Mytilus edulis: one gene and its partner. The main gene of each other region encodes a partner of the protein of the gene in region 2 in a complex. Links are inferred from orthologs where the notes say so. Each region holds a gene or a part of one and is shown on either strand. Other genes may lie near its edges.

Evidence for each region.
Region 1: sterol regulatory element-binding protein cleavage-activating protein-like (region 2) and protein TRC8 homolog share a complex: the UniProt entries of both Homo sapiens proteins name them as parts of the SCAP-SREBP complex. The link is inferred for Mytilus edulis from reciprocal best matches to the Homo sapiens genes SCAP and RNF139.

Annotation. Positions count from the first base shown.
Region 1 is NC_092347.1:69,540,579-69,548,342, forward strand, and holds the start of protein TRC8 homolog, read right to left. Parts: upstream 3,019-7,764; 5' UTR 2,973-3,018; coding exon 2,783-2,972; intron 1-2,782. Other genes in the region: RING finger protein 145-like, read left to right, coding at 6,726-6,894. UniProt on the Homo sapiens protein: E3-ubiquitin ligase; acts as a negative regulator of cell proliferation through mechanisms involving G2/M arrest and cell death.
Region 2 is NC_092345.1:82,816,846-82,824,048, reverse strand, and holds the start of sterol regulatory element-binding protein cleavage-activating protein-like, read right to left. Parts: upstream 3,017-7,203; 5' UTR 2,821-3,016; intron 1-2,820. UniProt on the Homo sapiens protein: Escort protein required for cholesterol as well as lipid homeostasis.

The sequences.
Region 1 (7,764 bases), on a different chromosome or scaffold from region 2:
AATTCGATACCGATACGAATAGTATATTCACCTGTTACCTATTACCTTATCTTATCTGTACGTTCCGCATCTGAAAGGCGCACCACCAAACGATGTATTTAGGATTTGCTTTATACACGGGTCATAATCACAGGGTTGACCCTTCTAAATTCAATCATTGTCAAATTGTTCCCTATTGTAGTATTTTAATCAGTAAGACTTTCTTACATAACAATATGAATACTAAAAATCTGGACTTTTATGATAATGCGTATATATAGGTACAGTTTTCAATTTTTGAACGGGCATGATGTAAAACAGCGAATAAAAGAACTCAACCTTATTTATAACTAATATAGGACAATACTGTTGATTAAAAAATACTCCATTCCAGGACCTTTTGTTTTCCAAATAATTAATATTACCAATAATTGATAAGTTCCAGGTTGACGGGTTCAAACAAAGATTTTGAAAGCAGAGAAAACTGTGTATCTTATAATTGACATGACTTTATCAGATGACAATACCAATACTAAAATAAGGCTTACGCATAGATATATACTTTAATTCATCCACGGACCCGCGATATCACAGGTGTGTTCTAGTATATATATACTAAATACATTATCATTAATGTTTGTAAATAAGGTCACGATCAGATGAACCCTATCAGGTACATGCACGCAAGCACAAATGTGGCTGTTCAAAAACTAAATTAGTCCTATTATTGTAGTACTCCTTTATATCTTTTTCAAAATTAGTTGTCAAAGACAGAGTTGATGGTGTTTTTAGTAAATCTGAATAAAAGAAGACATGGCCTATACATTAATGAGACAGGAACCGTACACACCTTATTGCTTATAATCAATTCAGAATAACAGTTACTTAGACAGCTTTCTGTGTGTTGCAAGTGTGACAAAAATAGAGGTCACCATTAACATGATTAAGCAGCTGAGGGAGAAAAAATTAAGAAAGAGAACATTTTAATATTTTGATTAAAGAAAAACAAGTAATTTATAATTATTGCATTACAATGTATATAGATTGATCTAATCAAATACCAAATGTTTGTGTTTGTTCTATACAAATTGTCAACTTAGCCTTTTATGGGGAGATAACTCAAATGTTGAATATTTTTTTAATCAAGGAATGACAGTGAATGTTGGAGAAATTTTCATTTTTTTCTTTTAGCAAGAAAAAAAGGTGACACTATTTTTTCTTTTTATTTTCTTAAAGCATATATTTTAAAACCTATCAAGTTATAAGTTATTTCCAAAATTTTATCTCACAACTTTCTTTCAATTAACAAAACAAGTGTTTTGTCACAAACAATCTTTGCAAATTTGGGCAACTTTAAAAGATTTGTAGCTTGAAAAACAGGACATGACCCATTCTTTTAATAACATTTTTGAAAAAATCATGGAAATGCGAAAAATATACAATCTGGTGAAGAAGAAGAACTATTATCGAGGAAATCTATATATATACATGTAATATAACCATGCAATGAACCACCTTAAATAAACACCATTCCTGATTGGATTAAAAGGCAAGAAGATGTTCAACATAAATAACTGAAATATATACATTTTGTATACAACCTATGATTGCTTACTTTTCTAATCTAATATTTGAGCATAGAAATACAAAGTGAACTTTATAATGTCATTTATATTGTATTTACTTTCATGAATGCTTATATTTAATCATGTTATGTAACGACTTGCTTTTATTATGTATTTCTTTGTTTTAAATAAAATTGAGAATAGAAAATCAAATGGGGAATATGTCAAAGAGACAACAACTCAACCAAAGAGCAGAAAGCAACCAAGGCCACCAATGGGTCTTCAACACAGCAAGAAAATCCTACACACAGAGGCAGGATTCGCCTGGCCCATGACAAAATGTGTACTAGTTGAGTAGTTCAAAGAAAATGGAAAATCACACTAAACTACAAAACATATAAATGATAAATGTTTTTAATAAGATGAGATAACTGCTCAATATATAAATAGATATCAAACTACAAACATTGAAATTAGGCACGGACTACTTTAGACTTGGCGTGACTAATTTAAAGATGGACAAAATTGGTTTAATTTGACATTATTAAATATTATTGCTTGCTTCTTTAATTTTTATATAGACATCCAAGCTTTAATTTAAGTAGTTTTTAAATTTCCATTTTTGTTTTACATTTTTACTTAAAGATTATTTTAAAATCTCATATGGATATTTTCTAAATCCAGTAAAATTTAATTCTTTAAATTTGCAATTACATTTTACATGTTTTATACTAGTATTACATGTACATGTATTAATTTTTATCATGTTTTTCTTTTACAGGGACTGTATAGTTTCATTTTTCTTCAGTGTACATTTAATTTGCAATGTTTATTGTGTATTATTATCTAATAAATACAATTTGAAAATATTATTTTTCATTCACTTCACTCGTTGTACATGAAATCCCCATATTATTGAAAATTATTGTGCACATTTCATTTCCGATCCGATGGTATTTTATTATAACACCGGATGTGGGTATGCATAGACTACGAATGGCAATTTGACTATTCTTACCCACAGACACTGCCTTGAAAGAAAGCTTTTAAACTTGAACATATTTTTAAAAGATGTTTACTTATCTCCAAAGTGATTTTTTCCTTGAAGTATTTTCAAAAGAAACAAGGGATGTATGAAAATATCTTTAAAAAAAAAAAAAAAAACAAACAATAGATAACTAGTTGACATTGTATTGCAACTGTATAAACATTGTATAACAGTATCAAGTTGTACGCACTGGTGAAAGACGTAGCTAGCCATTGAAACAACTGTGTCCATGTGGTTATTGGATACAAACTATACTCTGGATGAACACTCTGGTATACAACTTTCAACAATGAACCATTCAACAAACTATCAATAATAAATAGAGGTGGTATTCGTATCAAAACATTGGAAAAATGTTTAAATTTTCCGAAATACGACATGATCGATCTGTCAAATATTAACTTCCGGTGTTTTCTTGCTCGTTGTAGTGATGATTTGCAGCACTTAGAAGACAACACTATTTATTAATCCAGGCTGCTTGTAATCAAATCAGATCACTCACTATGTTCTTAAGATGAAACAGTTGTTTATCAATGTTAATTTTTAAAAGAAGATTAGTTTGTTTTACAAAATTGAGGTTAGAATAAAAAATGAATACAAAAGATAAACAGGTCCTCATCCGTCATTTGTTTTGTATATTAATGTAAATTATAGATCAAAGCAGACAGCAGAATTTCAACCACCTGAAAGTATCCTTAGGCCATAATATAACAACAGTAAATAGTTTAAAATTCCTACATTATATCATATGATTTTGTTTCATATCAAATACCAAAATGACAGTGCTTGTAAAATGTTGAAACTAGCTGACAGCTGGCATTGTCCCCATGGATTTAGTCCTATATTCCTGGAAGACCCAATAACTTCTCTTTTATAATCAATGTTGAATTTATTCTTAACTTTTCTAAGCCCAAATAATTTTGAAAGGCTATTTTATTTTTTGTCTGTGACACCTTCATAACTATTGTGACTAAACAATTTTATGCTGGGGTAGCTGTGATCCTGATAGCTCCTTATAGGTCGTTATGATATTTTTATGCCCCACCTACGATAGTAGAGGGGCATTATGTTTTCTGGTCTGTGCGTCTGTTCGTCTGTCCGTTCGTCCGTCCGTTCGTCCGTCTGTCCCGCTTCAGGTTAAAGTTTTTGGTCAAGGTAGTTTTTGATGAAGTTGAAGTCCAATTGACTTCAAACTTGGCACACATGTTCCCTATGATATGATCTTTCTAATTTTAATGCCAAATTAGAGATTTTACCCGAATTTCACGGTCCACTGAACTCATATGACCTAGCTTCCACTTTTGAAAACTGCATTTAAGTGCATTACCATATAGAGTTCAAATTTCCCATCCTTCATACCTATCAACATACATTGCAGAAACTACCCATTCTATTTTTGCAACTGTTATTATTTAAATTTTTCCTGGTAGCAGGTGGGGTCTTAGTTTTGTCAAATTATTTTGATTGATATTTCTGTTATCTTTTTTGAGCAAGTTAACCTGTTGCCATTACTTTGCATCCTTTTGTCATACATAAACTTTTCTTTAATAGTCTTCTCTGAAACTTCAATGGATTTAAACCAGAGTTTTTCTGCTTCTTCTTAGTTTGTGATTTTTGATGAACCAACATGAACATCATCAGATGACTGTCATAGGGCCAAAGAATAGTCTAGGCTAATATTTACGAATTAAAACAATTCGAGAAATAGTACTGTTAAGCACATTACCACAAGTTCTAATATTATAATCTACCATGAATAATTTTGAAATATTAACACCTATTTTGGAGTTATTGCCCCTGAATTTTTAAAGTTTTTAAAGTTTTTACATTTACTTTTGTTTCAAAAACTATAGGATCTAGCTTAAAAGAGTAAATTGAAAATATTGTAAGCATGACAACATGTATCCTCCCTGTTGATTAAAAAAAAAGATGTGGTCCTTAATCAGTATTGACACAAAAAAACAACAAATCAAAATGAAACACTCCAATTAATAATATTGAAAATTATTAAGGACTGCAGTGTTGACTTTTATTTTTAGCTCACCTGGCCCGAAGGGCCAAGTGAGCTTTTCCCATCACTTTGCGTCCGGCGTCCGTCGTCGTCGTCTGTCGTCCGTCGTCCGTCGTCCGTCGTCGTCGTCCGTCGTCGTTAACTTTTACAAAAATCTTCTCCTCTGAAACTACTGGGCCAAATTAAACCAAACTTGGCCACAATCATCATTGGGGTATCTAGTTTAAAAAATGTGTGGCGTGACCCGGCCAACCAACCAAGATGGCCGCCATGGCTAAAAATAGAACATAGGGGTAAAATGCAGTTTTTGGCTTATAACTCAAAAACCAAAGCATTTAGAGCAAATCTGACATGGGGTAAAATTGTTTATCAGGTCAAGATCTATCTGCCCTGAAATTTTCAGATGAATCGGACGACCTGTTGTTGGGTTGCTGCCCCTGAATTGGTAATTTTAAGGAAATTTTGCAGTTTTTGGTTATTATCTTGAATATTATTATAGATAGAGATAAACTGTAAACAGCAATAATGTTCAGCAAAGTAAGATTTACAAATAAGTCAACATGACCGAAAAGGTCAGTTGACCCCTTTAGGAGTTATTGCCCTTTATAGTCAATTTTTAACCATTTTTCGTAAATCTTAGTAATCTTTTACAAAAATCTTCTTCTCTGAAACTACTGGGCCAAATTAAACCATACTTGGCCACAATCACAATTGGGGTATCTAGTTTAAAAAATGTGTGGCGTGACCCGGCCAACCAACCAAGATGGCCGCCACAGCTAAAAATAGAACATAGGGGTAAAATTCAGTTTTTGGCTTATAACTCAAAAACCAAAGCATTTAGAGCAAATCTGACGGGGTAAAAATGATTATCAGGTCAAGATCTATCTGCCCTGAAATTTACAGATGAATCGGACAACCTGTTGTTGGGTTGCTGCCCCTGAATTGGTAATTTTAAGGAAATTTTGCTGTTTTTGGTTATTTATCTTGAATATTATTATAGATAGAGATAAACTGTAAACAGCAATAATGTTCAGCAAAGTAAGATTTACAAATAAGTCAACATGACTGAAATGGTCAGTTGACCCCTTTAGGAGTTATTGCCCTTTATAGTCAATTTTTAACCATTTTTTGTAAATCTTAGTAATCTATTACAAAAATCTTCTCCTCTGAAACCACTGTGCCAAATTAAACCAAACTTGGCCACAATCATCATTGGGGTATCTAGTTTAAAAAATGTGTGGCGTGACCCGGTCAACCAACCAAGATGGCCGCCACGGCTAAAAATAGAACATAGGGGTAAAATTCAGTTTTTGGCTTATAACTCAAAAATCAAAGCATTTAGAGCAAATCTGACATGGGGTAAAATTGTTTATCAGGTCAAGATCTATCTGCCCTGAAATTTTCAGATGAATCGGACGACCTGTTATTGGGTTGCTGCCCCTGAATTGGTAATTTTAAGGAAATTTTGCTGTTTTTGGTTATTATCTTGAATATTATTATAGATAGAGATAAACTGTAAACAGCAATAATGTTCAGCAAAGTAAGATTTACAAATAAGTCAACATGACTGAAATGGTCAGTTGACCCCTTTAGGAGTTATTGCCCTTTATAGTCAATTTTGAACCATTTTTCGTAAATCTTAGTTATCTTTTACAAAAATCTTCTCCTCTGAAACTACTGGGCCAAGTTCATTATAGATAGAGATAATTGTAAGCAGCAAGAATGTTCAGTAAAGTAAGATTTACAAACACATCACCATCACCAAAACACAATTTTGTCATGAATCCATCTGCGTCCTTTGTTTAATATTCACATAGACCAAGGTGAGCGACACAGGCTCTTTGGAGCCTCTAGTTGTATCCGTATTACCCATAATAAAAAAATGAATATTTTGCTACATACTTGTTAAAACTTGATACAGTCCCTCTTATTCTCTACTTGAATAAGTGACATTTGTAATTAATAATTTATTGTCCTTATTCAAATTTTATCACACGATAAGCCTGTTTAACAAAAAAAACAACTGAAATAATTTTGTAAATACAAGACCTTATCATGCTTATAAGTAAGATATAAGGTAACAAATGTAACTATTTAACTTAGTTATTTTATTCTAGATTTGATGATGTGGCAGGTGAAGGTTCAGAGAGAACAAGTTGAGGCTGTAGTTGGAGTTATTCTGAGGATTCCATCGTTGGTTTTGGCAGAGTTATGGTTCAGAAATAGTCCAGAAAATTTGACAAATCAACCTGATGATGTTACTTTTATCATCACAGTTATTTATTATCTAAGTAAGTATTTAAAATACCAGCTTGATGCAACCCTTAAGCTAGAAAGCATATCATTTATTTTACTTTCATATGATATTGTTCTTCCCCAGTTGTTTTATTGGTTGGTATTTTTTTAAGTTGTTAATTGGTAAATTAGTTGGCAACATAGTCCTTGTTTATCATTAGTCATGACATGACAATATTTTTGCTAATGAAGTTCATTTTTTCATTACTCTCAATAGTTAGATTTAAGATTTTAAATTCTAAAATTGAATCATCTTCAGTGGAGAAACTACAAAATGTAACTGTCAACAGCAGAAACTAAAAAAAATACTTCCACATTAACACTGTGTACTGTTGAAAAATCACACTTAACTTTGAAGGCCATATGGGGAGTTTCAATTGTTTGTTTTTTATTATAGATATTATTTTAATGTCATTTTAAATAGAGGGGCGAAAGATAGCAGTGGGACATTCAACCTCATAGATCAAACATAAACTGACAACGCATGGCTAAAAATACAAAAGACGAACAGCCACAAAATAGTACACAAGACACATCATAGAAAACTAAAGACTTAACTCCACAAACCCCACTAAAAACTGGGGGTGATATCAGGTGCTCCAGAAGGATAAGCCAATCCTGCTCCACATGTTGCACCTGTCGTGTTGCTCACATTATTTCAAATCGGGTAAATAGATTTATTCAGTAGGTCACATTTGTGAAAAGGGAATTGGATTGTAGTTACTACATAAGGAACATATCAGATATCATCTGTGAAAGGTATATTCCATAACGGTCAACCAACTTGTGATGGCGTCCGTAAAATTAACATATATATAATATAGAGATGTTTTCAACTTCACCATTTGGAAATGATTATTTAAGAA
Region 2 (7,203 bases):
TTGGTACTGTGTAATGTATCCATAAGAAATTATTATGTTAAACAGAACTGTATATTGAAGAAAGCATTATGAATATAATAGTTGTCTCAAACATTGTAATTGGCCGTTTCAGAATCTAAAGCATCATGGGTAATTTCATTGTTCGTACCCCAAAGTGAAAATAACGTCACGTCATTGGTTAAATTTTCATTGTTTATGACATTTTTAACCAATCATGACGTTTTGCTGTACACTTTTGGAAATATTACCCAGGATGCATTAGATTCTGAAACGGCGAATTAATACCCCATCTCCATATTTTGATCTTCAAATTGAAGAGCTAGCTATATAGCCAGAACTCTTAACTGTTCTAAGTATTTAAAATGACTAGCTAGTGACCCATTTGTTGAAAGCAAAATACATTCACCATGCTAGCATTACAGTGGCAAGTGACATAAAGTAACAGAAATAATGCAAATCTGAAAATGCATAAAAATAAATTTGCAGACATACAAAGTTGTTTGTTTGAGAGGAGCTAAATATGACTTCAGAATATTATGTATCTGATTTAATAATGCTATTGACAGAAGAGAAAGTATACAAACTAGAAACAAAAACATTAAGAAGGCAAATATTTTAAAGCATTGTAAAGATCATTGCTTCACAAAAATGACACATGTATACACATACCAGTTTGCACAGACTAAGTCAACTAACCCTGTGCACATCACAGCCTCAGTAAACTAACCCTGTGCACAGCATAGTCTTAGTCAACTAACCCAGTTCACTGCACAGCCTCAGTCAAATAACCCTGTGCACAGCACGGCCTCAGTCAGTCAACTAACCCTGTGCCTGGCACGGCCTTAGTCAACTAACCCTGTGCACAGCACGGCCTCAGTCAACTAACCCTGTGCAGGGCACGGCCTCAGTCAACTAACCCTGTGCATGGCACAGCCTCAGTCAACTAACCCTGTGCACAGCACGGCCTCAGTCAACTAACCCTGTGCATGGCACGGCCTTAGTCAACTAACCCTGTGCATGGCACGGCCTCAGTCAACTAACCCTGTGCACAGCACGGCCTCAGTCAACTAACCCTGCGCATAGCACAGCCTCGGTCAACTAATCCTGTGCACAGCACGGCCTCAGTCAACTAACCCTGTGCATGGCACGGCCTCAGTCAACTAACCCTGTGCACAGCACGGCCTCAGTCAACTAACCCTGTGCATGGCACGGCCTCAGTCAACTAACCCTGTGCACAGCACGGCCTCAGTCAACTAACCCTGTGCACAGCACGGCCTCAGTCAACTAACCCTGTACATAATACAGCTTCATCTAACTAACTTCATTATAAAGGTATATGACACAACTGTAGGCAGTAATAGATAAGCTGCATCCACCTACATAACGGCAAGTCATAAATCAACAACAAAACTCAGTAATTATTTACAGTATGGATATGATGTTGACATGACTCATTTGTATATTCTCTTTTGAATACATGTGAGGCATGAAAAATGTCCCTAGCACAAATTTACCTAAATTCCAATTTAATAATAATTCTAACATTTTTTAATACACTGTTTAATACATACTTTAACGTTATGAACAGGATCAGAGCCTAACACAACATGTGTTTTATATAACTATTATATTAAATCTTATAACAATAAAATACTAAATTACTTCATATATTTTGTTTACATCTGGATCTTATTTCTAACCCTTTAATAATGTAATTTCCTAGGCACATGAGAGTTGGTAAATGCTCATTTGTGAACAGCCAGAAATATTTCTTATCATTAGGTAGTTCTTTAAAATTAGTACAAAAAGTTGTAGCTTTATCATATAATAATTTCCTCTGTTCATCATATAATGGACAATTTACTGTAAAATGGGTCTCATCTTCAATAGAATTTGATCCATGTGATAAGCAATGATGACATAGATGTTGAGTTCTCTCTATGTTTTTTTTATACATCCTTGATACATGAAGATGAAAACAGTCTTAACTTTTTATATTTAATCATAAATTTTGAAAACTGCATTTTATTTTAGAAAAAATAATGTATTTTGTACAAACCAGGTGCCAATCTGAAAATTAATCAAAATCTAAAAATTTCAATGAAATATTAAATAGTTGGATTTTGAACAACCATTTTATATAAAAACCCTGCTAATTTTAACTCGATGGTTTGTAATTAAAACGGCCAAAAAAACACATGACAGTCATATGTCTTGAAGATCCGGTGTCTGACTTGCAAAAAACATATCTGGACTTTATTTTAACCCTTCAGAATTTTTTTCCACAACTATTCTAGTGATGCGTATTTTTGACATTAAATAAAAATGGCTAAATAGGTCAGTTTTATTTAATTTGTTCTAACGTCTTTAAAAAGCGACGTTGAATATGTTTTAAATATATCAAGTTGTAGTGGTGTTGTTGTTCTAAATATAGAAACAGAAAAACATGCCACAATGTACGCGTATGCAGTCGAAACCGACGAAATGTGGTTGATACGAAAACATATGACATACAAAAACATATGACACGACGATACCCATACAATGTAGATACATTTGTCCTTATTTCAAAAATCAGGTTTATTTGAATCAAATTATTTCTATATCAGATCCTATTTTTATGCATGGTTTCTTCAAGGAATGAAATAAAGAGACAATCTACAGTACCACCTCACATTACGCATATTGTGATATAATTTTTAATGATAAGGCGAAAATATATTTTTTATAAAATGTGAGACCCTTCATTTTATAAAATTCGTTCATCTAGTATAGGTGTGTTTTGAAATTATTGTGTATTCTACTAATTGAAATACGTACATCAGTTTTTAACCCTTTGGTAACATGTTTCAAATAGATACCAAACACTGGCAAACTAGTAGAAATGCTTGTTTGATCCGCTTTCTTTACTGTGTTTTCATTTTCAGCACCGCCTGAAGAAGTTGACTTCCGCTGAATTTGAGTTATCCTTCCTGAAATAAATTTTCTACGCAAGGGAGTTAATAATTCCCGCCAAATTTTGACCAATATTGCGTCATTTGTATCGTACGACATGATTCATCGTTTGAATTTGGTTGAAAAACTAATACTAAACATATTGTTGTATCTAGGCAAGTGGATACTAAACATTTAAAAAGAGAAAGGGTTGTATATGTTCTGACGAATATCGTGAATTAAAATGTAGTCAAATTATCCGGGGCGGGGGGTATTTTGTTTGAGCTACTGCAACATCTTTTAAAGACAAAGTTTTATAATTCAATCAAATATGGTGCTTTGAAGTCACGATCGCAAATATATTTGCTGCAATCGTGCCATAAAAAAAAACTCTTTGAATGTGAAATTGGGGAAACAAATATATAGGAAAATTCATGTACATATCAATTTCTGTTAGAGTGGGGCGCTCATATTCGCCGTTTTATGATTTTGAGGTGTAAAAACTTCAAAGGATGGTTGAAATGGAAGAAATATGCCGTTAAATTATATTTTTATAACAAATATGATTATTTTTGAAAATGAGACTAAATTTCGGCACAAATTAACAATAGGAAATGAAAAATCATTCACTTTTATCATACATTTTGGTTTTAAGCTTCTCGTTAATGATATAGATATCAAGATCCAGGAAAGGGCAGTGTACATTGTTAGCACTATTTTCATTTAAAGTTAGTTCTACAGGATAAATCTCGTCATTATTGAGAACAAATATATAATCCAAATATCTAAAAGTATCATTTAATTTTTGTATCAGACGTAGTTTCGATGGGTCTTTGCTGATTTTAATAAATAAATTTTAACTCACAACAATACAGAAACAGGTCTGCAATAAGTGGTGCACACACTGGACACTACCATTATATAAAATTTGGAATACAAAATATATAAAATTACGAAAAGGAGGCTTTTATACTTTAAGGACCACTAGGTCAGAATAAATAAAACAAACAGTAAAAGTGGAAAAACAAATGGGTTTTGATTAAACAATTCAAATTCATTACTTATCAACAGCTGAAGTCGATTTTTGTTCAATTTTAATCTAAGCTGAATATATACATCCATAAAAAACAACAAAACCAACTGAAAAAATATAATGTAAAAAATTGAGGGACTAAAATAAATCTAGACATACATTTTTAAAATATGATAGTTTTTCTTCACTCTGCTTGTTTCAATATTTTTTAAAGGTAATTATAATTTCAGTATTATATAGTTATAATATGCTAAATATATAGTTGCATGCAATCATTTGGAACATTTAATTCAGCGACTCAACAATACTTTTATTGTTTAAACAACATGTCGAACGGAAGTGTATACTATCAAAAACAGGTAACGAAAATCTATAATGTTAAAAACAGGTAAAATTTCATTATTTAGGTGCAAAGAACTGTCAAGGTTTCACATTGGGCATATATGTAACATCAGTGAAAGTTAATATCGTAACAGTAACAAACACATCATTATGTACGATATGTTAGTTAACTGCAATCTTCTTTAGAAACAGTTTTGTTAAAAAGCACGACACGGAATACGATAAATTTTACGAAGTAATTGACTTGTATTTTAAAAGCAAAAAAAAAAAAATACGGTAACATTTTTCAGATTTTCTCAGATGAAAAATAATGTCTACGCCGATAATGAATACTATCACAAAAGAGGAGACGTCAGACACGATTGACGTTAGTGAACTGGAGAATTTTACAGATGATGAGTTACTGAAAACACTACAAAAGCTGGAACAAGAAAAAGAACTTTTATCACAGCAGCAATTACTTAAAGAAATAAATAAACTTCAAAATGAGATAAAGATCCATGAAAAGCAAAAGAAGAGAGTATTAAGTAAGCATTTAATACCGTGAATTTAGAATATAAAAACAAAAAATAATCTCAAATATGCTTAATTTATATAGATATTTCGATAAACAGAATCATTCTTGGTATTGTAATGGTTTCGAATAACCACAATGTGAAACGGTATTCTAACTGATGATACATTTGAAAATAAAGAACCATTTACTCTGAAACATTCACATTTTCATTTTGTTATATAACACAATTACTTTCGTGATTAGAAGTTTTTGAAAAGATTGAAAAAAACATATCTCCTGAATAATAAAAATGATACTCGTCTGTTTCTTTTAATTTCTCCTGGTCACGGCACCAAAAGTCTAGACGATGAACATATAAGCGAGACAGATTTAACAAACCAAGAACTAATAGACGAGTTGACCATCGATGAATTATCTGAAAGACTAGAAGCGCTAAAGATACAAAAAGATGATTTTTCAAATAAAAAATTGCTGGAAGAGATCGAGGCTCTTCAGAATGACATACAACGACTTCAAACTGACACTGACTTCAAAGAAACTAGAAGTAAGAATATACTAACAAATACGTAAGTTTAATATTAAGATATATATATGTATATATCCCGACGAGGGAAGAACAAAAATTTGCGAAAGCAAATTTACAGATCTAACGTTGTTGGGTTGCTGTTTAGACGAGTTGTATATATATATATTTATAATAATCGACACTGACGAAGGCTATTTGCTTAGCCAAAATATTTGTCAACACAATTTAATAACAACATCTTCGTATAATACCATCTTATATTAGTACCGTTGTGTAATCGACACAAAAATGATAGGACGAAAAACATATATTCTTTATGACATAAATGCTTGAAAGTACCCATTTTTAGTAGATAACTTATTGACTATCTTTAAAGGAATTAACAACACTGTAAAGACAGACAGACTTTTCAGTATCTTAGAAATTTGTTTTTCTGAAATATACATTTACACATTTGCAGGCCGAAACGATACTACTTGGCATAAAAAATTCAAACTTAATGTTTTGAGGGTGGGTTTAGACTCTTGTATGAGAAACGTTTGCAAAAGGTCTGCATTTCAATGCGATTGGGGTATTATATAATATTTTTTTTTATTCCAATCTAAATAATTAACTCATTTGTGAAAATTCAATGTTTTGCAGTCCTAGCAAGAGATGCAGTGGCAGTTTATGCTTTATCTCCAACTGAAATAGAGGTACGATGGGATAATTTACAGTTTGGCGAAGTTGAATCTTACACAGTGTTCCATAAACCTGTTACGGAAGATGATAATGCGTATGTGTCAGTAACTCTAAACGGAACTGTCGATTCCTGTATTATATCGAAACTCGAAAGAAATACGACATATCACATTAGGATGGAAGCAGAAGGTTCAGACAAATCAGAAATTAAAACAGATACTGTTGAAGTGACAACGTTCAAATCAGGTTAACAAGTATTCAATAAAATATTAAATGCCATTTATCAAGTTGTACTAAATTAATCAAACGTTTTATCCAATTCTTCATATTTTTTTACTGTATCTTCATGCACAATTTTAATATTTACACCCTGTACTCTTTGATGATATAAGTCACTTTTTGATATACATATTGTATTTTGTTAGATTGTCATTATAAATTATATATTTTAGTCTCGGGATTTGTTCTTATCTTGGCGAATTACCAAGATTTCCAGCTTAAAGCGTTGTCTAATATAGAAGGAACACTATCACATGTTGGTAAGTTCTTACTCCTATATAGTACCCAATTGCATAATTACACAGAATTAATATAATGAGTATACTCTAATAAATGATTATAGGCATGCAACATATTAACAGCACATGCATTGCTACATAACTTTCGATTCAAACAAAAAATTCTCTGAAACTGATACTATCAAGATGCTTGATTTATTGATTGACAACATATTTGTTACGTTCGGAGGACGTGTTTTTCAACAGACTGTCGGCATTCCAATGGGAACAAACTGTGCCCCTCTACTTGCCGACTTGTTTCTTTATTATTATGAGGCTGATTTCATGCAGGAACTTCTTAGGAAGAAAGATAAGAAGTTAGCAATATCCTTTAACTCTACTTTCCGCTATATAGATGATGTTCTTTCACTAAACAATTCAAAATTTGGTGACTATGTGGAACGCATCTATCCCATCGAACTAGAGATAAAGAATACTACAGATACAGTTAAGTCGGCTTCATATCTTGACTTACATCTAGAAATTGACAATGAGGGTCGGTTGAAAACAAAACTTTACGACAAAAGAGATGATTTCAGCTTTCCAATTGTGAACTTTCCATTTCTAAGTAGCAACATTCCAGCCGCACCTGCATACGGGGTATATATCTCCC